Macaca fascicularis: one gene and its partners. The protein of the gene in region 1 binds, or shares a complex with, the protein of each later gene. Links are inferred from orthologs where the notes say so. Each region holds a gene or a part of one and is shown on either strand. Other genes may lie near its edges.

Evidence for each region.
Region 2: the proteins of GNAS (region 1) and GPR6 are in contact, whole or in part, in a cryo-EM structure (PDB 8TYW), measured with the Homo sapiens proteins. The link is inferred for Macaca fascicularis from reciprocal best matches to the Homo sapiens genes GNAS and GPR6. Residues at the interface, in NP_000507.1 of Homo sapiens: Gln35, Arg38, His41, Val217, Phe219, Asp323, Asp343, Leu346, Ser349, Thr350, Arg356, Tyr358, Cys359, Phe376, Arg380, Asp381, Ile383, Gln384, Arg385, His387, Leu388, Gln390, Tyr391, Glu392, Leu393, Leu394; in NP_005275.1 of Homo sapiens: Met107, Asp165, Arg166, Ser169, Leu170, Ala173, Leu174, Thr175, Tyr176, Tyr177, Leu182, Ile248, Val252, Arg254, His255, Ala256, Gln258, Ile259, Leu261, Gln262, Gln263, His264, Lys276, Gly277, Thr280, Leu281, Arg332, Asn333, Gln334, Glu335.
Region 3: the proteins of GNAS (region 1) and TACR1 are in contact, whole or in part, in a cryo-EM structure (PDB 7RMH), measured with the Homo sapiens proteins. The link is inferred for Macaca fascicularis from reciprocal best matches to the Homo sapiens genes GNAS and TACR1. Residues at the interface, in NP_000507.1 of Homo sapiens: Arg38, His41, Val217, Phe219, Tyr358, Phe376, Cys379, Arg380, Ile383, Gln384, Arg385, His387, Leu388, Gln390, Tyr391, Glu392, Leu393, Leu394; in NP_001049.1 of Homo sapiens: Met63, Thr67, Asn68, Asp129, Arg130, Ala133, Ile134, Ile135, Pro137, Leu138, Gln139, Pro140, Arg141, Leu223, Gln239, Ala242, Lys243, Val246, Met249, Leu308, Asn309, Phe312.
Region 4: the proteins of GNAS (region 1) and GPR161 are in contact, whole or in part, in a cryo-EM structure (PDB 8SMV), measured with the Homo sapiens proteins. The link is inferred for Macaca fascicularis from reciprocal best matches to the Homo sapiens genes GNAS and GPR161. Residues at the interface, in NP_000507.1 of Homo sapiens: His41, Lys216, Val217, Phe219, Phe376, Cys379, Arg380, Asp381, Ile383, Gln384, Arg385, His387, Leu388, Tyr391, Glu392, Leu393, Leu394; in NP_001254539.1 of Homo sapiens: Arg125, Ala128, Val129, Leu130, Pro132, Met133, Met137, Ile211, Val214, Ala215, Lys218, Ala219, Lys267, Ala268, Thr271, Ile272, Trp327.
Region 5: the proteins of GNAS (region 1) and GPR65 are in contact, whole or in part, in a cryo-EM structure (PDB 9BHL), measured with the Homo sapiens proteins. The link is inferred for Macaca fascicularis from reciprocal best matches to the Homo sapiens genes GNAS and GPR65. Residues at the interface, in NP_000507.1 of Homo sapiens: Gln35, Arg38, His41, Val217, Tyr358, Tyr360, Phe376, Asp378, Arg380, Asp381, Ile383, Gln384, Arg385, His387, Leu388, Gln390, Tyr391, Glu392, Leu393, Leu394; in NP_003599.2 of Homo sapiens: Gln42, Glu48, Leu49, Leu53, Asp111, Arg112, Ala115, Val116, Pro119, Leu120, Lys121, Phe123, Arg126, Val206, Ala209, Val210, Asn213, Lys214, Ala215, Thr216, Glu220, Ile224, Leu227, Leu228, Tyr290, Cys291, Thr294, Glu295.
Region 6: the proteins of GNAS (region 1) and FZD7 are in contact, whole or in part, in a cryo-EM structure (PDB 9EW2), measured with the Homo sapiens proteins. The link is inferred for Macaca fascicularis from reciprocal best matches to the Homo sapiens genes GNAS and FZD7. Residues at the interface, in NP_000507.1 of Homo sapiens: Asp381, Gln384, Arg385, His387, Leu388, Gln390, Tyr391, Glu392, Leu393, Leu394; in NP_003498.1 of Homo sapiens: Pro285, Ala364, Lys368, Trp369, Gly370, His371, Ile374, Ile450, Ile453, Met454, Asp457, Thr459, Lys463, Leu464, Leu467, Lys552.
Region 7: the proteins of GNAS (region 1) and GPR12 are in contact, whole or in part, in a cryo-EM structure (PDB 7Y3G), measured with the Homo sapiens proteins. The link is inferred for Macaca fascicularis from reciprocal best matches to the Homo sapiens genes GNAS and GPR12. Residues at the interface, in NP_000507.1 of Homo sapiens: Gln35, Arg38, Ala39, His41, Val217, Asp323, Asp343, Leu346, Arg347, Thr350, Tyr358, Cys359, Pro361, Phe376, Cys379, Arg380, Asp381, Ile383, Gln384, Arg385, His387, Leu388, Gln390, Tyr391, Glu392, Leu393, Leu394; in NP_005279.1 of Homo sapiens: Met79, Arg138, Ser141, Leu142, Tyr143, Ala145, Leu146, Tyr148, His149, Ser150, Glu151, Ile220, Ile223, Val224, Arg226, His227, Ala228, Gln230, Ile231, Gln234, His235, Phe237, Lys248, Gly249, Thr252, Leu253, Ile300, Arg304.

The regions. Positions count from the first base shown.
Region 1 is NC_088384.1:114,906,205-114,910,330, forward strand, and holds the start of GNAS (guanine nucleotide-binding protein G(s) subunit alpha isoforms XLas), read left to right. Parts: upstream 1-1,326; 5' UTR 1,327-1,860; coding exon 1,861-3,991; intron 3,992-4,126. UniProt on the Homo sapiens protein: Guanine nucleotide-binding proteins (G proteins) function as transducers in numerous signaling pathways controlled by G protein-coupled receptors (GPCRs).
Region 2 is NC_088378.1:14,018,029-14,022,104, forward strand, and holds GPR6 (G-protein coupled receptor 6), read left to right. Parts: upstream 1-1,276; 5' UTR 1,277-1,433; intron 1,434-2,052; 5' UTR 2,053-2,070; coding exon 2,071-3,159; 3' UTR 3,160-3,679; downstream 3,680-4,076. UniProt on the Homo sapiens protein: Orphan receptor with constitutive G(s) signaling activity that activate cyclic AMP. Promotes neurite outgrowth and blocks myelin inhibition in neurons.
Region 3 is NC_088387.1:46,739,808-46,743,786, forward strand, and holds the start of TACR1 (substance-P receptor), read left to right. Parts: upstream 1-1,179; 5' UTR 1,180-1,769; coding exon 1,770-2,158; intron 2,159-3,979. UniProt on the Homo sapiens protein: This is a receptor for the tachykinin neuropeptide substance P. It is probably associated with G proteins that activate a phosphatidylinositol-calcium second messenger system.
Region 4 is NC_088375.1:25,801,651-25,805,789, reverse strand, and holds the start of GPR161 (G-protein coupled receptor 161), read left to right. Parts: upstream 1-1,339; 5' UTR 1,340-1,629; coding exon of another isoform or gene 1,630-1,636; exon of another isoform or gene 1,637-1,861; intron 1,862-2,185; exon of another isoform or gene 2,186-2,636; coding exon of another isoform or gene 2,637-2,776; intron 2,777-4,139. UniProt on the Homo sapiens protein: Key negative regulator of Shh signaling, which promotes the processing of GLI3 into GLI3R during neural tube development.
Region 5 is NC_088381.1:155,957,151-155,961,188, forward strand, and holds the start of GPR65 (psychosine receptor), read left to right. Parts: upstream 1-1,238; 5' UTR 1,239-1,326; intron 1,327-4,038. UniProt on the Homo sapiens protein: Proton-sensing G-protein coupled receptor activated by extracellular pH, which is required to monitor pH changes and generate adaptive reactions. Activated by an optimal pH of 7.4.
Region 6 is NC_088386.1:97,857,398-97,861,649, forward strand, and holds the start of FZD7 (frizzled-7), read left to right. Parts: upstream 1-1,452; 5' UTR 1,453-2,249; coding exon 2,250-3,974; 3' UTR 3,975-4,252. UniProt on the Homo sapiens protein: Receptor for Wnt proteins.
Region 7 is NC_088391.1:6,810,724-6,814,687, reverse strand, and holds the start of GPR12 (G-protein coupled receptor 12), read left to right. Parts: upstream 1-1,164; 5' UTR 1,165-1,396; intron 1,397-2,138; exon of another isoform or gene 2,139-2,145; 5' UTR 2,146-2,153; coding exon 2,154-3,158; 3' UTR 3,159-3,964. UniProt on the Homo sapiens protein: Promotes neurite outgrowth and blocks myelin inhibition in neurons. Receptor with constitutive G(s) signaling activity that stimulates cyclic AMP production.

The DNA of each region.
Region 1 (4,126 bases):
AACGCTCATCCAGCCTCTCCTCCCGCAGGACTCTGCAGGTCAGGTGACCCCCTGCCTCCTGCCCAGCTGCTCTGTGCCTAGACGTGGTTCACCAATCTGTCTTACTGGTGAGACCGACCTGATGCGCACCTGCCGGGTTTTACGTGACCCCCTAACAGCAGCTTTTCTCCCGGGCTCAAATCCCTCTGCAGACCCCAGACCAGAGCATAGCATGTGCACACACCAAGGTCACCAGGTGGTTTGGGTATTTACCTTTGGCTAGCTCTGAGCCCACCGCAGCATGGTAGCGGGAGCGCAGCTGCGCGGGCAACCGCCGGGTTTGTGGCCGGTTGGCGGGCTCAGTGCCGCCTCAGTAGGCTCTAGCAGTGGAAAACTAAAGCGACTACCCTAAGATACCCATAGCGAGAGGAGAGGGGCTGGAAGGGTGCTGGAGACAGGCTGTAGTGGGGCTAAAGGAGCAGACTGACCGGTGCTGCGGCCGGCACCCGAAGCAGCGAGCAGCGCACCTCAGCTGCGGTTGCCGCGCGGCATGGTGTTTATCTGTGGGTTCAGTGCCCACAGCGTTGTCCACTCTCGAAATCACCCTAAACCGGCCATAAACGCCAACCAAAATCCCCTTTAACCCTTCCCTAGAACCGCAGGACCTGCGAAACTCTGCGGCCGCTTTGTGGGGTCCCCCTCTGCGCAGCACGCCCCCCACCCCTCCATCGGTGCCACCGCAGCTACTGCCTAGGGGGCTTTGCTCTTGGTGGTACGCACCCGAGACCTTCTTATTCCCCTGCGTCACCATCCACATAAACAAGGGAGCACCCTGCTTGCGCTGCGTGGGCCACTGCGGAGACCCCTAGAGTGTGATGAGGGTGGGGGCTGTTAAAGTGCTTTACCGGAGCCAACCTCAGCAAGCAACAAACAAAAGCAGTAAAAAGTACACCCAAGGCATTTAAAAAACAAATTGTGTGCTCGCATACTCGGCATCCCCTCTCCCTCGTCTCTCTCTGCTTCTCTGGTGGGCTCACGACCACCTGTCGCATCCCCACGCATGCCTGTGCCCCTTCTCAGGCACCAAAAGCCTTGCGCTCTGGACTAGGGGCTTGAGATCCGGAGCTGCCTGGAGGCTGGGGGCTATGACTCAGTGTTTCAGGGGTATCCTGGGGTGATGAAACCCTTCTTCAGTCCCCCCTCCCCCGAGGAGTCGGTTGGGTTGGGGAGGGAGGATTTCAGCTCCTGTACTCCAGCGTCCCGAGGCCCACGTCTTGCGTCACGTGTCCCGCAACGCAGGAGAGCTTTCTCTGGCCAGGGGAGAAGCGAGGAGAAAGATTCCAAATCAGTCAGGGAGAGGAGTGGAAGGAGCCAAAACGTCCCTGCGAGGCCTGCGCTCGTCAGCCCCCTTACCCAAAGTCCCGGGCCGCGGCGCGAGGAGCAGGATTCTGGAGCTGGAGCCAGCTCGGCACTGGAACCGGCGTCCTCTGGTGGCAGCGAGAGAGCGCTACTGGCGATTTTCGGACCGAATCGGCACGCTCGTCAGATCCAAGCAGGCGGGACTGGCCTGGAGGAGAAAGAAAGAGAGAGGAGGGCATAAGGACAGACCAAGGAAGAGGGGCTGGGGGGCATACTGAGGGGATAAAAAGTGGCCAGAAAGGAGCCAAGACTCCACCAGCAACAATTGAGTTGCTTCAGCCTCAGTCTAGGGTTCCAGGCCTTGAAGCCCCCCAACCTCACAAGGGTTGGAAAGTGAGGCTGGTGAACTTTCCAGCTGGTACTTTGATTTAAAAATAACAATAATAATTTTTTCACCCTAGTTCGGTTGGGTGCTCCGTCTTACGGAGCCCCAAACTTATTTTGAGAGGCCGCCACCCTGTTATGGGCGTGCGCAACTGCCTCCACGGCAATAATATGTCAGGACAACGCGATATCCCCCCTGAAATCGGGGAACAGCCCGATCAACCATCTTTGGAGGCCCCAGGGGCAGCTGCCCCCGGTGCTGGGCCTAGCCCAGCCGAAGAGATGGAGACCGAACCGCCTCACAACGAGCCCATCCCCATCAAGAATGACAGCGAGGCCTGTGGACCCCCAGAGGTCTCCAGGCCCAACTTTCAGGTCCTCAACCCGGCATTCAGGGAAGCTGGAGCCCATGGAAGCTACAGCCCACCTCCTGAGGAAGCAATGCCCTTCGAGGTCGAACAGCCCAGCTTGGGAGGCTTCTGGCCTACACTGGAGCAGCCTGGATCCCCCAGTGGGGCCCATGCAGGCCTTGAGGCCTTCGGCCCAGCATTCGTGGAACCTGGAGCCTTCAGTGGTGCCAGACCAGGCCTGGGAGGATACAGCCCTCCACCAGAAGAAGCTATGCCCTTTGAGTTTGACCAGCCTGCCAAGACAGGCTGCAGTCAACCTCTCTTACAGGTCCCAGACCTTGCTCCAGGAGGCCCAGGTGCTGCAGGGGTCCCCGGAGCTCCTCCCGAGGAGCCCCAAGCCCTCAGGCCTCCAAAGACTGGCTCCAGAGGAGGCTACAGCCCTCCCCCTGAGGAGACTATGCCATTTGAGCTTGATGGAGAAGGATCTGGGGACGACAGCCCACCCCCGGGGCTTTCCCGAGTTATCGCACAAGTTGACCGCGGTGGCCAGTTCGCGGCAGTCGCGGCCTCGAGTGCGGTCCGCCTCACTCCCGCCGCGAACGCGCCTCCCCTCTGGGTCCCAGGCGCCATCGGCAGCCCATCCCGAGAGGCTGTCAGACCTCCTCCTAACTTCACGGGCAGCGGCCCCCCGTTGGAGATCTCCGGACCCCCGCTCGAGATTGGCAGCGCCCCCGCTGGGGTCGACGACGCTCCCGTCAACATGGACAGCCCCCCAATCGCGCTTGACGGCCCGCCCATCGAGGTCTCCGGAGCCCCAGATAAGAGAGAGCGAGCAGAGAGACCCCCAGTTGAGGAGGAAGCAGCAGAGATGGAAGGAAGCACAGCCGCTGATGCCGCGGAGGGAGGAAAAGTCCCCTCTCCGGGGTACGGATCCCCTGCCGCCGGGGCAGCTTCAACGGATACCGCCACCGGGGCAGCCCGTGCAGCCCCAGCGGATCCCGACTCCGGGGCAGCCCCAGAAGATCCCGACTCCGGGGCAGCCCCTGCCGCCCCGGCCGATCCCGACTCCGGGGCGGCCCCTGACGCCCCGGCCGATCCCGACTCCGGGGCGGCCCCTGACGCCCCGGCCGATCCCGACTCCGGGGCGGCCCCTGACGCCCCGGCCGATCCCGACTCCGGGGCGGCCCCTGACGCCCCAGCGGTTCCAGATGCCGGGGCAGCCCCTGACGCCCCAGCCGATCCAGATGCCGGGGCAGCCCCTGAGGTTCCCGCGGCCCCTGCGGCTGCTGAGACCCGGGCAGCCCATGTCGCCCCAGCTGCGCCTGACGCCGGGGCTCCCACTGCCCCAGCCGCTTCTGCCACCCGGGCAGCCCAAGCCGCCCGGGCGGCCTCGGCAGCCCCTGCCTCCGGGGCCAGACGCAAGCTCCATCACCTTAGACCCCCCAGCCCCGAGATCCAGGCTGCCGATCCGCCTACTCCGCGGCCTGCTCGCGCGTCTGCCTGGCGGGGCAAGTCCGAGCGCAGCTGCGGCCGCCGCGTGTACTACGATGAAGGGGCGGCCAGCAGCGACGATGACTCCAGCGGAGACGAGTCCGACGATGGGACCTTCGGATGCATCCGCTGGTTTCAGCATCGGCGAAATCGCCGCCGCCGAAAGCCCCAGCGCAACTTACTCCGCAACTTCCTCATGCAAGCCTTCGGGGGCTGCTTCGGTCGATCTGAGAGTCCCCAGCCCAAAGCCTCGCACTCCTCCAAGGTCAAGAAGGTACCCCTGGTGGAGAAGCGCAGACAGATGCGCAAAGAAGCCCTGGAGAAGCGGGCCCAGAAGCGCGCAGAGAAGAAACGCAGCAAGCTCATCGACAAACAACTCCAGGACGAAAAGATGGGCTACATGTGTACGCACCGCCTGCTGCTTCTAGGTAATGCGGCGGACTCTGCCTGCGGGCAGCAGGGCCGCCGGGGAACTGGGTAGGGGGTGGCAGGGCTGCCTGCTGGGGCTCGGGGCTCGACAGTGGGAGGAGGGGATCCAGCCAAAGGCGGGAAGAGCTTGCTAG
Region 2 (4,076 bases), on another chromosome or scaffold:
TTAAAACAAAAGGATGATTTATCTGGGCTGAAAATAAAACTCCTGCCTACTGAAGTCTGGTGCAGCTGAGTTATCACTATTTTCGTCCTGTAATTTGTTTTATAGGGAACTAATTAACAGGGCAAAGTCTGAAGCCAAGAAAGTAAATCCCATTTTGCTGTTTTCCTTTTCTCTAGCAAGATGCAGACCTGGTCTTTAATTAAAGTGCAAGTTCCAAGGGTACTATCAGCTACCGAAATGGGGAAACACTGGGCAGAAAAGATCATGGTGAAACCTGCTGTGTAGAGCTCAAGAAAGATCATGGCAAAGAGAGGAACTGCACAGGCAACCTCCAAAAGAAGAGATTGTTTTCCTCAGATGTCCCCTTCTTATCCATCTTTTATCTGCTCCCCATAACTCAGAATTTCTTCCCTGGCTCTACTCAACTGAGCATGTACCACGAATATCCTTTTTAAAAACTGGATTTCAGGCCCGGTGCGGTGGCTCACACCTGTAATAACAGCACTTTGGGAGGCCGAGGCAGGTGGATCACATGAGGTCAGGAAAGCCCAGCCTGACCAACATGGTGAAACCCCATCTCTACAAAAATTAGCTGGGCGTGGTGGCGCACACCTGTAATTCCAGCTACTCCGGAGGCTGAGGCAGGAGAATCGCTTGAACCCAGGATGCAGAAGTTGCAGTGGGCCGAGATCGGGCCACTACATTCCAGCCTGGGCGAGAGTGAGACTCTGTCTCAATACATACATACATACATAAAATAAAATAAAAAGTGAATTTCTTTTCCCAGATAATTCCTGTTTTGGGAGCGGCGTTTTTTTTTTTAAAGGTAGCTACTTTCCCATCAAACACCCCTGTCCCAACCTCCCCCTTCTCTGGGGTTTCTTTTTGGATCTGATCCCTCGGTGATCTTTGAGGTTGGGCTTTGCTGCCCGGCAGGTGCCACTCATCCTTCACCCCTCCTCTCCCAGCTCACCCTCTTCGCCGCCTGGTCTCAGGGTCTTCTTCACTCCTTTCTCCCTCTCTTTGTCTCTCTCCCATCCCATTCCTGGAAGTTCTGGACTGGAGGTGACTGCTCTGGCTTTTCCTCCCTCCTAGGACCCTCAGATAGTATAGGGGGCAAGGGGAGTGCGGCGGGGAGGGCGCAGGATGGGTTGGCGAGGAGAGTGAGTGCTGGGTTCGCACCGGGAGCCGGGAGCCTGACGTCACCACGCCCTGCCTGTCAATCTCCAGCGCGCGCCGCTCGCAGCCGCCTTTTCTGCCACCAACTGTGTCTCTCACTCGCGGCGCCGGCACAGCGACAGGCGCCCCGCGCTTGCCTCCTTCCCGGCCGGGCCGCCTCCTGCAGGCAGCTGCTCAGTCCGCGCGGGGAGCTCAGCCCGGCGCCCCGCCTCAGCGCCCATGACCAGCGACTTCCAGAAGTCCTGACGCCCCAGGTGAGCGGCCGAGTTCCCCAGGGAACTTTGAGGATGTGGGGAGAAGGATAGCCAGGGAACGGGTCTTTCCAGAAGAGGAGAAATGGAGCCAAGCTTGACTCCGACCCTCCACTCCCCCCATACACACACCCTAGTCTCTCCTCCCAGACCCCCTTCTCAGGGGTCTCTGGGCTCTAGGGCGCTCCAAGCTTCGCAAGGGCAGAAACTTCGCTTTCAGCACCACGGACAGCGTATCCGCTGCCCAGCTCCCTGGAGATGTCCTGGTCGCGCCGCCACAACCCGGGCGGGACTCTCCCAGGATGACACTCCTAGCTGGTGCACTCGTATGCGTGTGCAAATACAGACATCCTTGGAGAATTGATCCGTGTGCATGTGAGTGCATGTTGTCCTGGTGTATATCTGTGCAAAAACTCAGAAGTCCGCGTGGGTATTTCACTCACTTACTCAACAGGTATTTATTTTGGGATCTCACTTAACCCATGATTCCCCGATTTGCTCTGGGGTCCCAGGGTGGGGTGGACAACTCAAGTGGTGCAATGCGAGAGGAGGCTCTATGCGTGGGAAAGTTTCCTGGCAGCCTGAAGGGTACACCTGACGCCTGCACTCCCTCCCTATGCAGGGTGCAAATCCGGCCGCAATGAACGCGAGCGCCGCCTCGCTCAACGACTCCCAGGTGGTGGTAGTGGCGGCCGAAGGAGCGGCGGCGGCGGCCACAGCAACAGGGGGGCCGGACACCGGCGAATGGGGACCCCCTGCTGCTGCGGCTCTGGGAGCCGGCGGCGGAGCTAATGGGTCTCTGGAGCTGTCCTGGCAGCTGTCGGCTGGGCCACCGGGACTCCTGCTGCCAGCGGTGAATCCGTGGGACGTGCTCCTATGCGTGTCGGGGACAGTGATCGCTGGAGAAAATGCGCTGGTGGTGGCGCTCATCGCGTCCACTCCGGCGCTGCGCACGCCCATGTTCGTGCTGGTGGGCAGTCTGGCCACCGCTGACCTGCTGGCGGGCTGTGGCCTCATCTTGCACTTTGTGTTCCAGTACGTGGTGCCCTCGGAGACTGTGAGTCTGCTCACGGTGGGCTTCCTCGTGGCTTCCTTCGCCGCTTCTGTCAGCAGCCTGCTGGCCATTACGGTGGACCGCTACCTGTCCCTGTATAACGCGCTCACCTATTACTCGCGCCGGACCCTGTTGGGCGTGCACCTCCTGCTTGCCGCCACCTGGACCGTGTCCCTAGGCCTGGGGCTGCTGCCTGTGCTGGGCTGGAACTGCCTGGCAGAGCGTGCCGCCTGCAGCGTGGTGCGCCCGCTGGCGCGCAGCCACGTGGTGCTGCTCTCCGTCGCCTTCTTCATGGTCTTCGGCATCATGCTGCACCTGTACGTGCGCATCTGCCAGGTGGTCTGGCGCCACGCGCACCAGATTGCGCTGCAGCAGCACTGCCTGGCGCCACCCCACCTCGCCGCCACCAGAAAAGGTGTGGGTACGCTGGCTGTTGTGCTGGGCACTTTCGGCGCCAGCTGGCTGCCCTTCGCCATCTATTGCGTGGTGGGCAGCCACGAGGACCCGGCAGTCTACACTTACGCCACCCTGCTGCCCGCCACCTACAACTCCATGATCAATCCCATCATCTATGCCTTCCGCAACCAGGAGATTCAGCGCGCCCTGTGGCTCCTGTTTTGTGGCTGTTTCCAGTCCAAAGTGCCCTTTCGTTCCAGGTCCCCCAGCGAGGTCTGAAGGGCTCGCTCCATGTCCTCTCACCAACACCACACCCCCAACAAGCCAGCCTTTGGTAAGCTTGGTACCTGCTGATGAACTCTGAGATCCCAATGGTGTGAGTCTGACTGTGGAAAGAAAAAGGGACTAAAGAGAAATTCAACAAACTCAAAAGGACAAAGAGGCTTGTTGGCACTTTACATATACAGTGTATACAGGTGTACATATATATACAAATATTTGTATCTTCTGGAGGTGTTCAGGATGTGGAGCTTCCTATTCTGTGAAAAACCAAGAAAAAGATACGATTGTATACTCAAATTGTACATCACATTTGTCAAACGAATACATTCCAATACTGCTTAATTATAGCACTTTATTTTTAGCTGCTGAACTGCCAGAACAGTGTTGCCATTTTCAAGGGCAGGGAAAAGGGAGTAAAAGGTGTATTTTTGTTGTATGTGATAGAATATTTTGCTGCACATGCATCAAAAAATTACAACATATTTTGTACACGAATAAACCCATTACAAGAATGTAATTTGGGGTATGTGACTGACTATAGAATTACTATTAGAAAGCTGAATTATAAGTGTATAAGTGTCTTTATTTCCTTTCTTTCTTGTTTGCTTGCTTTCTTGCTTTCTCTTGCTTGCTTTCTTTCTCTTTTGTTTGTTCCAGATAGAGTCTCACTCTGTTGCCCAGGCCTGAATGCAGTGGCCCAGCTCAGTGCAACCTTGAACTCCTGGGCCCAAGAAATCCTGCCTTAGCCTTCCTAGTAGCTGGGACTACAGGCATGCCACAGCATGCAGCTTACTTTATTTATTGTCTTAAGTTTTTAAAATTTCAATAGATTTGAGGGTACACGTGGTTTTTGGTTACATAGATGAGTTCTTTCATAGTGAATTCTGAGATTTTTGTGCACCTGTCACCTGAGC
Region 3 (3,979 bases), on another chromosome or scaffold:
CGAAAGGCCTGCAGCAGTCTGGCGGGAACACGCTGCGGAGCTCATTCCATCTTGGCTTCTCCAAAAGGGTTCATACGGACTGGCGAGTCTTTCCCCTGCCTCCTCCAAGTGTCTGGCACCAGTTCTACCGTTTGAAATGGTCTTGGACTGGGATACGAGGCCTCAAAGTCACGAGAGGGCAGGGCAGGATGGAGGTGGGGAGAGAAGGCGGGCTGACCCGTCCTCCAGCCCCTAGGCAAACCTGGAAGGGGAACAGGCAGAAGGACCACCGATGCCACCTCGGGCCCGGCTCTGGCCTGCAGGCTTGGCAGGCGCGGAGGCGGAGGCTGCCAGGTCCCCGGGAGGCAAACGCAGCGCCGCAGTGGGTGCTGGCGGAGAGCCCAGAGCCGCGCGTCTGAGCGGCAAGCTGCCTATGAGTGTGGCTTCTGCACTCACCAAGCTTCGCAGGGAGCTCAGCCCTGTCCCCAGTGCTTGAGCAGAGGCTCATCCACAGGGGTCAGGTGGAGGGCTCCAATGGAGCTTCTCCTGGAACGAGGGGCCCAGTCAACAGGGTGGCTGAGGAAAGTGTCCTCAAAGCTTAGAGTCCGTCACTTCCCAGGTGAATCAGCTCTCCAGGAAATGGAGCTAGATATTTTGTGGGGGTGTTTCCTCAACACAGTCTCAGGAAAGTTGTTTTCGGGACACCTGGACCAGGGAGTCGCGTCGGGTTTCTCGGTAGCTGGAGCGCGGCCCGGCGCGCGGCGCTGGCACATCGCCCCCACACTTGCCCGTTTCCCATTGCCACAGGCAGGCCGCCTCTGCAGAGCTGTCGCAGGGCTCTGGGCTTCCCTCCCTGGAAGCTGATTGTCCTGCACTCCAGCTGTTTCCCAAATCTTTCCTTCCTCCCAGCACCCCTAGTGAAACGACGATTCCAGCTGCGGACCACATCTGTCTCAGTTACTTCCAAGCCACCTACTGCCCCCTCGCGGAGTGCGTGGGGCTCCCGGCTCGCAGACTCCCACGACAAGTAGCTAGCAGCAAAAGGCGTGGTAGCTGGGGCGGTGGAATGAGACAGTTGTCAACAGCTGGCGCAGCTGCCGCGCTGCGCACCGGGACTGGCGAGTACGCAGCCCAGGTACTGCCCCTTCCCAGTGACGTCTCTGCAGCGGGTTATAAAAGCCTCGTGCGCAGCTAACTGCCGAGCTGAGCAACCCGAACCGAGAGGTGCCCGCGAAACTGCAGGCGGCGGCAGCGGCAGCAAAAGCGAAGGAAAAATCTCCAGCTGGACACGGAGCTCCAGAATCCTGACCATAGGCTCAGAACTTTGACAGGTCGCGCTGCAATGGGCCCCCACTTCGCTCCTAAGTCCTCACGTAGCACAGGGCTTTGCCTTTCCCGGCGGAGGAAGGGGAAATAGGAGTTGCAGGGAGCAGCAGGTGCATAAATCATAAAGGCAGGGATCTCTTGCTTCTTAGAACCATGACCGGTGGAATTTCTTTCCCTTTTTCAGTATAACGCAAGAGATGCTGTCTCCAGACTTCTGAACTCAAATGCCTCCTGCAGCTTGAAAGTGGAGGAATTCAGAGCCACCGCGGGCAGGCAGGCAGCGCATCCAGAAGCGTTTATATTCTAAGCGCCAGTTCAGCTTTCAAAAAGAGTGCTGCCCAGAAAGAGCCTCCCACCCTCCTGTCCGACTTCAGCAGGACCCTGAGCCCCAGGTGCCAGCCACAGGACTCTGCTACAGAGGGGGGTTGTGTACAGATAGTAAGGTTTTACCGCCTAGCTTCGAAATGGATAACGTCCTCCCGGTGGACTCAGACCTCTCCGCAAACATCTCCACTAACACCTCGGAACCCAATCAGTTCGTGCAACCAGCCTGGCAAATTGTCCTTTGGGCAGCTGCCTATACGGTCATTGTGGTGACCTCTGTGGTGGGCAACGTGGTAGTGATGTGGATCATCTTAGCCCACAAAAGAATGAGGACAGTGACCAATTATTTTCTGGTGAACCTGGCCTTCGCGGAGGCCTCCATGGCTGCATTCAATACAGTGGTGAACTTCACCTATGCTGTCCACAACGAATGGTACTACGGCCTGTTCTACTGCAAGTTCCACAACTTCTTCCCCATCGCTGCTGTCTTCGCCAGTATCTACTCCATGACGGCTGTGGCCTTTGATAGGTGAGATTAGCCTTTGTGAAAAGGCGAGAAAGTGCTCATAGAGAACCATGGCATTGCTATGAGGTTTGGGGCTGGATGGGGTATGGGTCAAGGGCAAGGTTGGCCACCCATGCTCTGAGGGATTTTTTGCTGTTATCAACTGAGTCAGTTGTTGATGGGAACTTCATCTTATCTATTTTAACATTTTTTCTCCTCTTTTTTACCCATCACTAATCTCTCTTCCTTTCAACACACATCCCCCTTTTCTTCATTTAACTCCCCTTTCTTCATCTCTTCTCCACTCATCTTCCTGACACTTTCAACTTCTGCTTTGCTCCTTTTCATATATTCCTTCTCCCCTTTACCCTTGCAGGCTGCAAACAATACCTAGGGCTTGGTCCAAGGACTAGACCCTGGATGGGGCTTTGTAAATTCCTCCCGGCCTATTATTCTGTCAGACAGCCTCTTGTTGCCTTCATGTTTTAAGTACACCTAGAGGATTCTAGAACTTTCTGCTCCCACTGCAACTCTCCAGTTTTTTGTTGTTGTTGTTTGGTTGGTTGGTTGGTTGGTTTTTTTGTTGTTTTTTTTTTAATGTGAAATTGCATTTCATCAGTGTTATAAGATACTCAGAATTCTAATTCAGTTTACTCTATAATGCTAGGAATTCTCATTCAGGAATGAGAGACAACTATGCTATCCTTAAGAAACTCCACAGATAGGGATCCAGGGAACTTACCCAAGAGGTGTTCTAAATTTCTCCTACAATGTAAAAGTTATGTATTTAGCCTGTCTCTATCCACAGAGAAACATGCTTGGCAAAGGCATTTGAGAGCTCTTCCGTTCTTGCAACCAACAGGTTAGGGTTCCCGAAGCTGATTGAAAGTGAAAAGGTTGGCATTTCAAACACTGGGGCTGGTATTCTGGAATAAATGGCTCTTCAGGTAACATGATGGAAAATTGGTTATTGTAGCACAGCTCTATTGGTATTGTCTCCTTTGTGAGTATCTTAGGTCTCCAATGTGTATGTCTATGTGTGCACAGGTGTTAAATGTTTACCTGGGATGTGAAAGTGTGTTTAAAACACCTACCGCTGTGATTTTAAAATGGATTCTTTTGATGTCCTTCCTGAGAAAACTGAATGTGAGAAACTCAAAGAAGGAGCTAAGACAAAACTTCCAAAAAAAATTCCAAACTATTAACCCTCTTTGCATAAAGATTGTTTATAACTTGCAATTTATTAGAAGCCTTTTTTAGCTCCTGTAGTCAATGAACACTTTTAAAATCAGGGCAATCTTCATTTCCATCCTTTGCAGTGGTGTCCTAATACTGATTTGCTAGTTCCATGTACATCTCTCTATATGCAGTTCCTATGTGCTTACTATGTTTTATGTAAAACAGATTGTGGAAAATCAGTGTATGTTTTAAATGTAGATGGTAAACCAATTACTCAAAGTGGGAGTGAAATGAATTATTTTGCAAATTTATCTTTTGTACTACACTGATTTTCAGATATTCAGTTTGCTGAAAGTGAGGTACACTTGTAAATCTTTCTGCGTTCACATGCTCCTTTAATCTCATGACAACTTCCTTAAACTTAAAAAAGTCAATAGCATGATATATAAGTGAATATCTGGGTAGTGAAACCTGATGCTGTTTCAGCCTTTCACACACTCTCTTGATGCCCCCTAAATTAGGGGGGAAGTTTTTTTGGGGAGGGGGTTGTTTGTTTTTTCTGCACTGGGGCTTTGCACAAACTCTAGGAAGACCTGTCAGTCAGTGTCAGCTGGAGCTTTCAGTAGCTGATGGAGCACCAGCAGACAGCTCTCTCCTTTTGGCTTA
Region 4 (4,139 bases), on another chromosome or scaffold:
TAGTTTATAAGTCTTTGTGGATGTCTCTAAAACAGAATGGTTTATTAAACTAATTTGGGAAAGGAGAATTAGTGTGTATCTTTCTCTTTTTCTGAAAAAAAAAATACATTCTTGCACAAAAGCAGTCACGTTTTTCACAATTATCACCTATACAATGATAAACAGTGAAATAATTACTTTAATAACAATTTGTTTGTTTTCTCTGCATCTGACTGAATTCACTCATAGCTCAATATTAACTCCAGAAGGGAAAAAAAAATCTTAAGACAGCAATTGAAAATGCATTTGTTGGCAGCAATTTCTATCCCTGAATGCACAGTAAGTTCTGAGCTTATGAGCTCAGAAAAAAGAAAAATCTTTGTGATAAATAATGTATTTGATAATGAGCAGCAGGAGAAAAAAAAATGTCTTCTGTTGAACAGTTCAAAATGAAATAGAGTAAGTATGGGAAAAGGTTGTTCAGTATGAAGGACATCTTTTGCATCATGAATGGGTATGGAGCCAAAACAGCCGTAACTGTTTATTTTTTACTCTCATTCTTGCCATGCCAGTCCATGGCATATATTTTCAGACCTTTCGTGAATACCAATTTTCAAAAGGGTTTAGTTCTCCGAATTTATGACACTGGTGATTTAGTTACATGACCTCATTTGACCTTTTCAACTCTACAGATAGGAAGGTATGAGTATCCCCATTTTGTGTATGAATAAGCTGAGACTCAGGAAGGTTAACTCACTCCCTCAGGCTCATAGAGCTTAGCCGACAGCTGAGCCAGTGTAAATTAAATAAATAACAGGGAGTTCAAAATAAGTGTCTAAAATACTCTTAAGAACAGAAAGCTTTAAGCTCCTTCAAGGGTCTGGCTTGCCGGGTGACCTAGACTCTAAGTGGAGTGTCAGTTTCCAGTTTTTGACCAAATAAAGCATTTATCCCATAGGAATATTAAGGCATCCATTTACTTTTTTCTCCCCATTATCCCATTTGTCCCCGGAGCAATGTGGGTGTTTGGTAGGTGCCAGACAGTAAATTACTGTTCTAAATGGTGCCTCAGTGGCCCAATAATATTAATAATAAGGAAGCATCTCCCACAGTGTCAATCTGTAGACAAGGGAATAATTAATGTATTTATCAAAGCAGATGGATTTCAGAGGAATGTGAATCCTGCTGTAAGCACAGCACCAGGGTTTTTTTGTCTTTTTTTTTCTTTTGCTGAAGTTTAGTGAACTGGGCTTTATAACTTCTTACCTGATTATTTTGTTGCCCTGTTTGTCCTTCCTTCTTTCCTTTTTTAGCAGTTCTACTCTGTGCTTCAACTTTCCATCCCCTTATTAAGACTGCTGCATAGAAAACGTAGGAGGCTGGAGACAGGCAGGGAAAGTGGGGAGTGAGGAAGACAAAACAAACATTCTGAGAAGGAACTGTTCCGTCCCCCGAGCTGACAGCGCCCGCTCTTTGTTTTGTGATGACTGCTCCCTGGCCTTTTGGCTCCGAGGGAGTGCAGGGCAGCAGTGTGAAGACCTGTTTACGTCCACTCCCCACTCCCCGGGGCGGATTCACTGTGGTATTCACAGAGCCCGGGACAGAGCCTGGCAGGACGCAGATGGATGCTCGTGCCCGTCGGCTGGATGAATGAAAGGTGAGCAGCAAAGGCGATACCAGGATCTTCCACGGCGGGACTGGAGGAGGAGAATGGGACTGTGCGGAGCCTGCGGGAAGAATCTGAAAGTGTCTGTGTGATGCAGAGAGACATGGAAAAGGGGACGTCCCAGCGGCTGGAACTGGGACGCAGGAACGGGAACAGGGAAGGCCTAAGTTAGGGACCACAAAGGTTTTCAGGAGAAAAGTGCAGCGAGCCGAGAGGGTAAGGGCGAGACAAAGAGCAGCAGCCGAGGCTGTTCGTGGGAAGAAATGGGAAAGCAGCAGCCGGGAGGGCGGGCGAGCTGACGGACGCGAAGGAAGGGGCGCGGGTGGGGAGGGGCGCCGGGAGCCGCGCGGGGCGGGGCGGTGCGGGGCGCGGGGAGGCGACTCGGGGCTTTGGGGGCCGGAGGGGCCCGGCCGGGCGTGGGGAAGGCGGGGCGCGGGCGCCGCAAAGTTACTTGGCCTGCGTTCGCCCGGGTCCGCGTGCTGGTGGCTGGCCCGCGGGAGGAGCGAAGCGGGGCTCGGCGGGCTGAAACCCGAAACCTCCAGTCCCGGAGCGCGGCGGGGAGGAAGGAAGCGGCGGCGGCGGTGGCCGAGGCGGGGAGGCGGCTGGGCCGGGGCCTGAGCTGCCGCGGCAGCGGCTCCTCGGTGAGCACTCGGCGTGGGACGCGGTCGCGGGCCCGGGCCCGGGCGGAGAGGGAGGTCGGGATGGAGCCGGGCTAAACTCATTGTGCGGGGTTGAGGGCTCAGGTTGCGGGCCGGGAAGGGTCCCCGCCCCCACGGCGCTCCCCTTCTCCTCGCGCCCCTCTCAGGGGTTGGGGCTGTCCTCTGGCCGCACTGCGCCTTGCTTTGGAGAGCTGGAGCTCTTTGTGGGAAGATGTTGGGGGCGCGCCCCTCGCCTGCGGCCTGGGGCTTCTGAGAGGCCCACCCCATTCTACTGGGTGCAGCCCGCCCCCGTTTCTCCGGCGCCGCCCGAGGCCCCCTACCCAGTCCGCTGGATGGGAGGGCGTAGGTGCGTGCCCTGGACTCGGCCGATGCGGGCCGCGCCCCCTGGGGCCAAGAGACTTCACGACCCGCTCAGGGCAGAGGGTGTGGGGAGAGGCGGTCACGCCCCTCGGCTGGAATCCGTGAGGACCAGGTGAGCAACCTTCTCCCAGCCGGGACTCAGGGCGCTGTCTCCCCGAGCCTGGGCGGACGGCGGATGGCGCGCCCAGAAGTGGCCCGGCGCCGCGGGGTGGGCGGCTCTGCCTCTCAGATCTGCGGGAGGGAGATTCGGCTGGTTCTTGGAAAGGGGAGGACTTGACCAGCCCTCGGCGCCCTCTGGGCCAAGCTTAACCCCCGTGCAACCTTTGGACAAAGGCATATGGGATGAGAACGTCTGTGGGATAAGTGGGGTGTCTCCTGTGTTTCCCGGAGGTCTGCTTACCAGTAACCACACAGCTGCGCATTGGCATCGCTTTATATCACATCTTGGAGGCTATTTTTGCTCGTTATTGTACCTTTCATCCCTTTTGCAAAGTGCTTTCAAGAGCAGGTCATTTGATCCTCCTCCCTGTGAAGCCGTGAGGAGGTGTGTGGTTTTGGAGGGAAAGAACCTCAGTTCCTTGATTGTCCAGTGGAGACACTGATAACCTCAGGTGAGCCTGTCTCAGCGTGCTAGGGGCTGGGGGAGGATGGCCATCGTTGTGGCTCCTCCGTGGAGCCAGGCGTGGATTCAGCCCGGCCTCTTCTCCCCTAGTGACCTGGACCTCCAGATGAGTTCTGGAGAGCTACTGCTTCGGGGGAATAGGCGGTTTTCCCTTGTAATCTATTTTACTGCAGCTACTGGGAGCAAGTGAAGAGAGGCATTTTTCAGGCCCTCAGGGCAGAAGGAGGAGGTGGGAGGGACCTCAGGTCACAGAGAAAGAGGCTCTTCAACTGTAACTGGAATCCATGGCACCCATTTCTGTTACTTCTTCCAGAGCACCTCTCCCGGTCCTCCTCCACACCTGTCTTATTTTATACTTGTCAGGTGCTTACAAGCACTTTCATATACACTTCTTCCTTCACACAACAGCCTTGTGAAGCTCTGCTAGCCCATTTGATAGGTGAGGAAACTGAGGCTCAGGAGAGATGAAGCATTCTTGCCCAGCTAAGTAAGCAGCCCAGATTGAACTCAGATCTTTTGCCTTGGTAATGCTTTTCACGTGGTTTCCTGATGGCACACAGGTGGGTCCTTTAACTCAGGGCTTCTCCCTGCCCTGTAGCTCCACCACCATAACATCAAGAATAGAGACCCCTCATTAAGAGGCCTGCTTGACATTTTGGAACTAAATCCAAGGCCGCAACGATATCCAAACCGTTCTCTTTGTGTTGCAGTCTGGTGCACTGGGAGTCCTCTGAGAGGTGAAGGAGCACTGTGTGGTCAGAGGGCTGTGAGCTCTCTGTTTGGGTTCCGAGGAAGACAGAATGGGCTGAACTGGAGCTGACCTAAATGTCAGCAAGAGGAGGTACAGTTCTGT
Region 5 (4,038 bases), on another chromosome or scaffold:
GTAAAGTATTAGTTTTATTATTCTTAAAGAAAGACCTACAAAGGAAGTATTGAAAATTCCTGATATACCCTGATCAACTTCAATATGAAAAGCCTTGCTTATATACAGCCTCATCTTTTCCATCTCGGGTAGGAGAAAAAAAGAAAAAAAAAGCCACCACCACCACCACCAACCCTTAATGTCATTTTACAAACACAGATTCAAAATGTCCTGATTACATCTTTAAAATTGGGTTAAATATTTTCATCCCAAATCAATTATGTTATTTTAAATAATATTTTCCCTTCATTTATAATAAAAGTTTGTGAGGGCAAGATTCAAAAGTGATATTTCTGACTTTTTTATATATCAATAGCAAGAAAGTTATAGGAGCTAATTTCACTTCATATTAAACCGCTTATAGATTTGGCATTAACTTTAACTTGCTGAAGTACAAGAGGTTTTGTAATAACAATAAAAATCTTTCTCAAATAAAATTTTCAAGTTTCATAAAATTATTTGTCTCAGCTAGTTAGTTCAACTGCTCCTAGCCATCTCTGTTTCCAAGAGGAAACTCAAAGGAGAAAATAGTTCTACAATCAAATACTATATATCCAATCCCATTAGTCTCTCAAAAAAAAAAAAAAAAAAAAGACTGTATGAAGTTGGCTACCTTAATCCCAGCCTTAAACAGCACAACAGCCATCATTAAACCCCTCAGCCTCAATTCTCCCTTTTCTGTTTTTCTCCCAGGAACTTCATCACCCTGAATCTGTCTACAATATCCTCCCCTATCTCACACATCCAAATGGCTCATTCTATTTTATCTGTTCCCCTCTTGAAGTACTTCTTCATTTTGCCATTGCATTACAATCACTATTAAACATGTCTTTCTCCTTTACTAGGTTAAAAAAAAAAAACTCCTTTGGGTTGATAACCAGTTCGTATACATCTCCCCGCACACTGCTGGCATGATGAGTGAATGAATGATTGAATTAATGAATGAATAAAGAAATAAAATATTTACTATATATTCCATTAAGTAAGGGGCATATTATATCTGTACACACTTGAAATTAAGATGCAATGAGACAAGTGAGTTATAAAAATTACAGTACGGTAAAAAAATAACTAGAAACATCTTTAAAAGTATTTAAGAGAGTTTTGGCTTCAAACTTGGATAATGCACGTCCTTCTCATTGAGATGCTACTTCCTCATTGGTTTGTGGTGAAATATGAGTGCAATTTCCTGTCCCCTCAGCAGTGTTGGTTTCTCTTCTTGACTTGATGCAGGCACAGATTTATCAAGCTCCTCAGTCAACAAACGCATCACCCGAAGAAACATGGGTAAGTGTAAGATTAAAAAATAAAATAAGATTTTAAAATAGATAACATGCTTTGGTATAATTGTCAGCGATGTTCGCAACATTCTACCTGGTTTAGGCTGTATAAATGTAGTGATGCAAATTATTATAAGAGAGAAAGAAATGAGGAAGACACAGGGTTTCCTCTACTTTGAGCAGTGGTAAAGGGCCAAACTTTAAATTTAGAACTAATTAGGTAAAACTATAGATATAGAAAAAGGGGGTTGTTCATACTTTATTTTCTTTCCAGGAAAGAGTGCTTTGGCAAACTTGATTCAGTATTTAGGAAGAAGCCGACCACCACCTCCTGGCTTTAGAGCTATCTGGCACCAATCCCTCATCTGTACAATGGTCCAGTAAATATTTTTTATATCCATTGGAAAAAAATGTGATGTTAGGAATGAATATTTCCAGTATTAATAAATGTCAAGTAATAATTATTAGTTAATAAGTGACTACCACAGTGCCTGAAATATATAGTAGAGTCTTAATAAGTAACTATTAAACTGATAAATGAAAGCAAGCATTTTCTATAACACTGTAGGAAAATATTTTACTTTTGATCATCGTCATCAATGATTTGTACTATTTTTAGAGCTGTTCAAGAATAGATACACTTTAATATACTGTAGATTGTCTTTTTTGACATCTGGTAAAAATTTAAAAATTAAAAACTCACCAAAATTTCTCAGTTCTGGCTCTAAAAACAATTTTCTCAAAATTTGATTAAAGGAGCCAAAATAAGATCTGAAAAGATATATGAATACTGTAATAGGAATTATATGCAGTATTCCATGAAAATCTCAGATCCACCCAAATTAAATGAACAACTATTATCTGCAGAGCTTGGTATTATATGTGAAATGTTACCATACAAATCACACTCTGAGCACCTCCAGCTTTTCTGCTATGCTCTGGCTAGATGGCTAAGGATTATTTCTTTTCAGGAAATGTAGGGGACAGCACAAAGATTGGAGCACACTACCAATGTCATTAAAGCAATATTACCAGCTAACCTACAGTGAATGCTTCCCATGTGCTATGAACTTTGCTTCATATGTCATTTCATTTAACCCTCACAACAATCTTAGAAACTGGGTACTAACTTACACATGTGAAAACGGGAACTTAGAGAGGTGAAGAAACACAAATGGGCCCAGAGTGCTTTTGAGAGGCATTTGAATTGTCTCCAGAGCCCACGCTCATAACCACAAGCCTGCACTGCCTCTGCGTCACTACAGAGAAGAGGGCCTCTGTCTGCTTCATCAACCCATCCTGTCTTGTGGTTAAGTCAAGGCAGGAAATGCTTTTACAGCTAGAGAAATGTATTCCATTGAAAACCTTATAAACCTTTCTAAAAATCATTTTTTCCATTTAATCTATCATCCCATTTTTAAAGAAAATGATGCCTATTTATTGAGTAACACAGACAGAGGAGGAAGAGGTACACACTGCCCATTACCCGACTTTCTCGGTCCTGGTCTTAAGGAAGGATGTTTTCATGGTCCAGGTGTTCTCCCCAAGACACACGAGCCTAGTGTTGGACGTGTTGTGTGTGCATCAGAGTCCCATCCGCGGGGGCTGATTCAATCCTTCCTGCATCTCAGACATTACTCTAGTGTCCTTTTCCTACTTCAATTATATCCTTTAGAAGTTTCTTTAGTGGGGATTTTGGATGTAAATGTTCTCAGTGGTAGTTTATCTGAAAATGTCCTAATTCTTCCTCTGGTCCTTGAAATTTAGTTCTGTTGAGTATATAATTATAGGATGACATATATTTTCTTAGCAATTTGGAACTTTTAATCTTCTGCTGTCTATTATCGCGGTTGAGAAGTCCTTTGTCCATCTCAATTCCATCCTTCATAGGTAGTCCATCTTTCCTCTCTGGCTCTTTTTTCCTTAGTCTTTGGCGAACTGCAATTTTATTGCAATGTGTCTAAGTATAGGTTTCCATTTTTGTGTTTTTAATCCTATTTGAGATTTTCTAAGCTTCATTAATCTGTGGATTCCATGAGGATTGAAGATATATGAGGATTCTTCATCCATCCTCAGGATTCCTTCATCAGTTCTAGAAAGCTCATCAGCTTTGTGAATATTGCCTTTTCAACATTCTCTCTTTTCAATCTTTATGGAATTCCAATTATGTATATGCTACCCTTTTCACCTTTTCTCCATATCTCTTTTATGTTTTCCCCTGTCCTTAACATGCTGATAATTTTGTGTTACTTCTTTATCTCTATCCTGCACAATACTGATTTTCTCTTCAGCTGGATCTAATCAGTTGGTTAGTCCCTGTGTTGAGTTTTAAATTTAAATTATCGTATTTTTTATTTTTAGAAAGTCTTTTTCAGTCTTTCTAAAAATATGGCTTGTCATTTTTTAATAATCTCTTCCTCCTTACTCATGTTTTTAAATCCCTTATTTTGTTTCTTTAAACCTAGTCTCTAGTTTCTCTGATCCCTAGTGAGTTCCTTCATACACCTTCAGGCCATGCAGAGCCCCAACGCTCACTCACCTCCCTGATAGCAGCTCCCACCTCCTTTCTTCCATCACGAATTTTTCCCCCTTTGGAAGCTTCCCTATTTATTTAACATGCTTCCCTATTTATTAAACATACTTATTTTGTGTTATATTAATTTTATCTCTAAAATTTTGTGGATTTGATTTACTTTGCTGTTTCTGCTCAATCTCACAC
Region 6 (4,252 bases), on another chromosome or scaffold:
AAGCATAGGATTGCTCTGTGTGTGTGTGTGTGTGTGTGTGTGTGTGTGTGTGTGTGTGTGTGTGTGTGTGAGAGAGAGAGAGAGAGAGAGAGAGAGAGAGAGAGAGAGAGAGACAGAGAGAGAGAAGAAGAAGGAGGAAGAGGAGGAGGAGGAGGAGGAGGAGGAGGAGGAGGAGAGGTCGATTGATTTTTTTCCTTTCCTTCTCAACATGTCACTTCCCTGCATGGGAATTCCTGATATTCCTGGCAGCCCGGAGAGAGGGGAGATGCCCCCCTGGTGACTTCTGACCCTCCAGGAGTAACCAGAGAGAGCGCGCGCGAGCGCCTAGCGCCTGGCGCAGGACGAAGATTTAACCGAGAACAAAAGAACGTTTGCCAATCAGAAAACGCTACCCGAGAACGAGGATAACCCCGCTTTGTGTTTTGAAAACTCTTTAATTAGCCTGGTTTCTAAGACGCATTTAAGCATTTCTATGCAGATTCTAAATGGAGGATCTAATGGTTGCTTCTGCAACGAAGATGGGATCCCGAAAGGCCACACGCCGCAGAACCAAAGCACACGGGGCCACTGAGACGCCCGGCGCGTCGTACAGAGTGTTCCTGGGCGCTCGGTCTCAGGTTACTTCTAGAACCAGTCTCCCCAACGCCGTCTTCGTTTCCTTAAAACCTCGCTAGAGCCACCCCAGCTCCCCAGACTCCAGGCCGTGCGCGCGGGCGGGGTGGCCTGAGCCCGGGTTCCCCGCGCTCCCCGCTTTGGGCCCTTCCTCCCACCGTCACTCGGCCCCCTCCGCCCGACTCGGGTTTCTCCTGAGGCGGCCCCTCCTCCTTTTTACAACTCGGGAGAGGGGAGCGGGGACTGTGGCCTCGCGTGGACTGTTTGGGTCCAGGGGGAAAGAAGCGATCCTCAAGGCGCACCCCCTTCTCGCCCCGTCCCAAACCACCCATTGAGGACCCGGCGACCCGAAAGCCCCGCCAGAGCCAGTCTTTGCAGTCCTAACGCGACTCCCGGTCACGTCTCTCCCCGCAGGGGCGCTGCGCGGTCCTCGCTCCCCGCAAAAGCTGCTGGCGAAGGAGCCCCTGCTCAGGAATGCGCATCTGAGTGCACCAGGAAAAGGAACAAATCTTTGAAGCAAATTCCCTTTCTGCGCGTTTTCCCCCCTGAGCGAATTCAGGGTAAAAGTTTTTCCGAACTTTTCCCTCCCAGTCCCCCGCCCCTCCCCTCAGGAATCCGCCCAGAGCGCCGCGGACACCGCCTCCGCCGCTCCCGCGCCCGCCCCTTCCGACTTCCGCCCAATCCAAAGGCGGCCACCGAAAAAACAAAGGCTACCATTGGGCCGCCGGGACCTGGGGCCGCCCCCGGAGTGGTTTGTGAATGGGGGGAGGGGAGGGGGCGGGCCGGTCCGGAACCCCGCGAGCCCGACGCTTCTTCTGGCGACCAGCGCGACTCCGAGGCGTTAGTCGGCGCTCCCTCCCGGCGGGCGGCGGCGGCGGGCGCCAGGACTTGCGGCTGGGGCTGCGCGGGGCTGGAGGGGCCAGGGCCAGGCCGCGGGCACGAGCGCCTCGCGGTTTCGGACGCAGTGTGACTGGATTTCCAAAAAGAACTCGCCGCGCTCCCGACTCTGGGGCCGAGATCGGACTCAGCGAGAGCCGGCCGTTTGGCTGAAACTTGGGGCCGAGGTTTTGGGGTTGAAGAAGGAGTGGGGTGTGGAGGAGGAGGCGAAGGAGGCGGCGGCGAGCGGAGCCTGGAGGCCAGGAGGCGGGGCAGCACCGCGGAGGCGGCGGCTGGGGCGAGCGGGCGGCGGCGCCAGGGGTTCTCCAGGAGGGGGTTCTCCTGGAGGGGGCCCGACCGGGAGCGGGGGCCGTGCGCGCTGCCGTGCGCCGGGGGTCCAGAGACTTGGGCAAACTTTGAAGGGTGCCCGGAGCCGCTTGTTGCTCCTCGCGGCGGAGGGAGCCTCACCGTTAAGTCCTCGCGGGGAGAGCAAGGCGGCCCTCCTCGGCGCCCCCAACCCAGGCTGACGAGTTTTGGGCCCCCGGCGGCCCTGCGAGTGCCGGGCGGCGGCGGCTGCGGCGCCCCCGCGGCGCGGGCACCCAGGCGGCAGCGCCCTTTGCTCCACGCCGCCCACGGCCCGGCCCCGGCGCCGTGAGGACTCTCATGCGCCGGGCGCGGCGGCGCCTCCCCGCATCCTTGCCTCTCCCAACCGCCTCGTCGCACTCCTCGGGCTGAGAGCACCGCTGCACTCGTGGTCGGCGATGCGGGACCCCGGCGCGGCCGCCCCTCGCTTGTCCCTGGGCCTCTGCGCCCTGATGCTGGTGCTGCTGGGCGCGCTGTCCGCGGGCGCCGGGGCGCAGCCGTACCACGGAGAGAAGGGCATCTCCGTGCCGGACCACGGCTTCTGCCAGCCCATCTCCATCCCGCTGTGCACGGACATCGCCTACAACCAGACCATCCTGCCCAACTTGCTGGGCCACACGAACCAAGAGGACGCGGGCCTCGAGGTGCACCAGTTCTACCCGCTGGTGAAGGTGCAGTGTTCTCCCGAACTCCGCTTCTTCCTATGCTCCATGTACGCGCCCGTGTGCACCGTGCTCGATCAGGCCATCCCGCCGTGTCGTTCTCTGTGCGAGCGCGCCCGCCAGGGCTGCGAGGCGCTCATGAACAAGTTCGGCTTCCAGTGGCCCGAGCGGCTGCGCTGCGAGAACTTCCCGGTGCACGGCGCGGGCGAGATCTGCGTGGGCCAGAATACGTCAGACGGCTCCGGAGGTCCAGGCGGCGGCCCCACTGCCTACCCTACTGCGCCCTACCTGCCGGACCTGCCCTTCACCGCGCTGCCTCCGGGGGCCTCAGATGGCAGGGGGCGTCCCGCCTTCCCCTTCTCATGCCCCCGTCAGCTCAAGGTGCCCCCCTACCTGGGCTACCGCTTCCTGGGTGAGCGCGATTGCGGCGCCCCGTGCGAACCGGGCCGTGCCAACGGCCTGATGTACTTTAAGGAGGAGGAGAGGCGCTTCGCCCGCCTCTGGGTGGGCGTGTGGTCGGTGCTGTGCTGCGCCTCGACGCTCTTTACCGTTCTCACCTACCTGGTGGACATGCGGCGCTTCAGCTACCCAGAGCGGCCCATCATCTTCTTGTCGGGCTGCTACTTCATGGTGGCCGTGGCGCACGTGGCCGGCTTCCTTCTGGAGGACCGCGCCGTGTGCGTGGAGCGCTTCTCGGACGATGGCTACCGCACGGTGGCGCAGGGCACCAAGAAGGAGGGCTGCACCATCCTCTTTATGGTGCTTTACTTCTTCGGCATGGCCAGCTCCATCTGGTGGGTCATTCTGTCTCTCACTTGGTTCCTGGCGGCCGGCATGAAGTGGGGCCACGAGGCCATCGAGGCCAACTCGCAGTACTTCCACTTGGCCGCGTGGGCCGTGCCCGCCGTCAAGACCATCACTATCCTGGCCATGGGCCAGGTAGACGGGGACCTGCTCAGCGGGGTGTGCTATGTTGGCCTGTCCAGTGTGGACGCGCTGCGGGGCTTCGTGTTGGCGCCTCTGTTCGTCTACCTCTTCATCGGCACGTCCTTCCTGCTGGCCGGCTTCGTGTCCCTCTTCCGTATCCGCACCATCATGAAACACGACGGCACCAAGACCGAGAAGCTGGAGAAGCTCATGGTGCGCATTGGCGTCTTCAGCGTGCTCTACACAGTGCCCGCCACCATCGTGCTGGCCTGCTACTTCTACGAGCAGGCCTTCCGCGAGCACTGGGAGCGCACCTGGCTCCTGCAGACGTGCAAGAGCTATGCCGTGCCCTGCCCGCCCGGCCACTTCCCGCCCATGAGCCCCGACTTCACCGTCTTCATGATCAAGTACTTGATGACCATGATCGTGGGCATCACCACTGGCTTCTGGATCTGGTCGGGCAAGACCCTGCAGTCGTGGCGCCGCTTCTACCACAGACTCAGCCACAGCAGCAAGGGGGAAACTGCAGTATGAGCCCCGGCCCCTCCCTACGTTTCCCACCCCTGCCCTCTTGCAAGAGGAGAGGCAGGGTAGGGAAAGAACTGCTGGGTGGGGGCCTGTTTCTGTAACCTCCCCCTCTACTGAGAAGTGACCTGGAAATGAGAAGTTCTTTGCAGATTTGGGGCGAGGGTTGATTTGGAAAAGGAGATCTGGGTGGAAAGCGGTTTGGATGAAAAGACTTCAGGCAAAGACTTGCAGTAAGATAATGATAACGACGATGTGAATCGTGAAAGGTACAGGCCAGCTTGGGC
Region 7 (3,964 bases), on another chromosome or scaffold:
CTGAGGATGATGAGAAGTGGCATGCAGGGAGAGCTGGAGCGACCTTGCAGAGCCAGAAACTGATTGATGGAAGAAGGGGAGGAGAAGCAGGAAGAAAGTCAAGGGTGACTGAGGCTCCGAGTCTGTTGGGCTGGGATAGAGAAGACGTGAGCAGCAGGGGAAGGCAGGCTGGCCAGCTGATGATACTCCTATAGGGTCCTTTGCCTGCCGACCATTTCCATTTGTACAAAAGCCCCTGGGGAAGTGGAAGAAAAGTAGTGGGAAAACCTTCACCTCTGACAGGGCAAGACAAGACTATAACACTTTTTCCTTCTCCCATCTTTAAACTGGAGGATCATCTTGGAACTTAAGATCTACGAGGTGCTTGGGTTTTTATATCCAGAGGAGGCCTGGGCTCAGAAAAGCAGACAGCTATCAGGTTCTTCATCTCAGAATCCATTGATGTGGCAAAATGAAAAAATAAATTAATAGTGCCACTTCAGTATCTAAATGAATTGGGGTTTGGCCAATGTCTGCAGGAAGCTTCTACAAGAACTCAGTAAATGATTTCCATTTGAAAACACAGCTCAAAGAGCACTTAATAAGTGCAAGTTGGTGATGATAATGATGATACACAGAGCAGCAGCATCTATTCAGTTAAGCAAATGTTCCTGGGAAACAGTGATAATGAACCAGGTCCAAGACCATGGGCAATTCTAAAAAAGCGTGCGGGGCATTTTGTTGTTTTAAAGATCTGCTTCCTCAACCTGTCCACCCCGCCTCCCTGCTGCTGATCGTGAATACCATCCTAAGCAATCCTTTTGGCCCTGAATGTAGCGGTTTAGGTGAAGGCGTGGAAAAGCCAGGACTGTGGAGACTGGAGCTCCCCGGGGAAACCACAGGAACGAAATAGGTCACAGGGCTCCCAGGCAGCGCTCCCCTGCCCCGCCCGGTGCAAGCCCGGGTCCGCCGGCTGGGGTGGGGCGCGCGGCGCGGCAGGCGGGCAGGGCGACCATGCAGTTCTCAGCCTCCCGGCTCTTTTGCCCCGCGCTCCGGGGCCGCCCTCGCCTGCCCGCACCCTAGAGCAGTCCCGACCCGTGGAGGCGCGCGCGGCCTCCCGGGGATCCCGCGGGCTGGCGGGCGGCCGGGCGCGCGCGGGGCGGGGGCGGAGCGCGCGCGGGGAGCGTGTGGGCCGGGCGGGCGCGGCGGGGAAAGCTGGGCGCGCGAGCCGAGCCTGCGGCTCACCTGCAGCCGCGTCGCTCACCTGCAGCGGAGCGCGCGCCCTGCGCCCTCCCGGCCCGCTCCGGAGCCCGGCCTCCGCCCTTTGCCACAGCGGGCGCCTGCGCCGACATGCGACACGAGTAGCCCGCGCGCTTCGGAAGCACCGGAGGAGCCCCCTCGGCCTGGGCGCGCCAAGGTGACCCCCTCGATGACCCCCCCGCCCCCGCGGGCCGCCTGTCCCCGCACCCTGTCTGTCCCTCTCGCGTCCGACTCCAGTCCCCGCTGCCAGGGGAGCGGAGGCAGTGCATGGGCATCTGTCTGTCTGTCTGTCTGTCTCGGTACTTCCATTGCACACACCTCCCTCTCGTGGCCCTCCCGACTGCTCCGTGCGCACGGGGGGGAGTCTGGGAGCCCCTCTTTGTTCCGGTCGGGGGTGCGTTTGAGGGTGTGCACGCGCGTGGGGGATGCGTTTGGAGGGTGGGAGTTCGATGGAAATAGGCGATTTAAATATTCCATCGAGGATGGCGGCCCCTGACTCAAGACCTGCCGCTGCCGCGTGGTTTTCTCGGCAGCAGCCCAGATGTCAAACAGTTGTTGGTTTTCAGCATGCAAGATGTGATTTTCCAATGTGCATTCCCAGCGCTTTTGCAAACAGACCGCCGCGAGTCCGTGTGTGTCTGCCTCGCTCACGCTGGTGTTTTGAAGTCCAACCCTGTGTTTTCCCCAGTGCCAAACGGCATTTGTGTTGTGGGGTTTAAACCACAGAGACTTTGGCTTTTGTTTCATTTCCCAACAGTTCCTCATTCCCGAAGCTTGTGGCATTTGGTACTGGTGTCTGAGCAGGGGCTGGCTTTCTGTCTGTCTGTGTGTCTTTTGCATGATCTCGGATCGTCACCCTGCTGTATCTAAACATTAAAAAACCTGTCTTTTCGTTGAAGAGGACAGGGGTTAAAATGAATGAAGACCTGAAGGTCAATTTAAGCGGGCTGCCTCGGGATTATTTAGATGCCGCTGCTGCGGAGAACATCTCGGCTGCTGTCTCCTCCCGGGTTCCTGCCGTAAAGCCAGAGCCTGAGCTCGTAGTCAACCCCTGGGACATTGTCTTGTGTACCTCGGGAACCCTCATCTCCTGTGAAAATGCCATTGTGGTCCTTATCATCTTCCACAACCCCAGCCTGCGAGCGCCCATGTTCCTGCTGATAGGCAGTCTGGCTCTTGCAGACCTGCTGGCCGGCATTGGACTCATCATCAATTTTGTTTTTGCCTACCTGCTTCAGTCAGAAGCCACCAAGCTGGTCACCATCGGCCTCATTGTCGCCTCTTTCTCTGCCTCTGTCTGCAGCTTGCTGGCTATCACTGTTGACCGCTACCTCTCACTGTACTACGCTCTGACGTACCATTCGGAGAGGACGGTCACGTTTACCTATGTCATGCTCGTCATGCTCTGGGGGACCTCCATCTGCCTGGGGCTGCTGCCCGTCATGGGCTGGAACTGCCTCCGAGACGAGACCACCTGCAGCGTGGTCAGACCGCTCACCAAGAACAACGCGGCCATCCTCTCGGTGTCCTTCCTCTTCATGTTTGCGCTCATGCTTCAGCTCTACATCCAGATCTGTAAGATTGTGATGAGGCACGCCCATCAGATAGCCCTACAGCACCACTTCCTGGCCACGTCGCACTATGTGACCACCCGGAGAGGGGTCTCCACCCTGGCTATCATCCTGGGGACCTTTGCTGCTTGCTGGATGCCTTTCACCCTCTATTCCTTGATAGCAGATTACACCTACCCCTCCATCTATACCTACGCCACCCTCCTGCCCGCCACCTACAATTCCATCATCAACCCTGTCATATATGCTTTCAGAAACCAAGAGATCCAGAAAGCGCTCTGTCTTATTTGCTGCGGCTGCATCCCGTCCAGTCTCGCCCAGAGAGCGCGCTCGCCCAGTGATGTGTAGCACCCTTGCACCCAGGAGGACTCTGCATTTACCAAGCACTTCCACTGCCTGGCCAAGGTTTGAGATGCTTGCCTTGAATTCCTTGCATCGGATTCCCTCTCAAGCCACAGGAGCACTTAGCATTCGTGAAGCAATGACATCGTTTAGATGAGTTAAGTAATTGAAGTGAAAATAATGTTACCGGTGTTTTCACCATTAAAAAAGTATTGTTGAGATCTTCACGCAATATTATTTTGTTTTGCTTGGGGGCAGGGGTTTCCTTTTATATTTTGTTTGGAGGGCTGATTGGGGGTAGGAAAGGAAGGGATATGATACGCCCATGATGTTGTAAAAAGTCAATGAGTTTCAGAGTTTTTACCTGGACTTTAAAATAAATTTGAGTGATTGAGGAAAACTGAGGAAGACTTACTTTTTCCAGACTATTTTGTTTTACATGATGGTAGATTTTTTAATGCTGCATGTATGTAACAGAATATGACCCCTTTCAATCCAATGCAAATAGTTTACATAATTGTGTTTGGAAGGGTCCTGATTTTGCTAACATGAACTCAGTAATGTCACCGACATTGCAACCCTGAAACCATTCTTATTCATTCTTTCTTTCCTTTCGGCAATTACTGTTCACAAGAATTCTTTCGGTATTTCTATAAATGTTGCAACTCCTTCCGCATGGTTGACTGTGTTAGCTAGGCCACTAGTTTCAAATGTTGCCATGTCAATCTAGATTCCAACGGGTCATTTTTCAATATAGTTTTTCAATATGTACTTTCTAAAATGAATCCTGAAATAGGTTTTGATTTTCATAT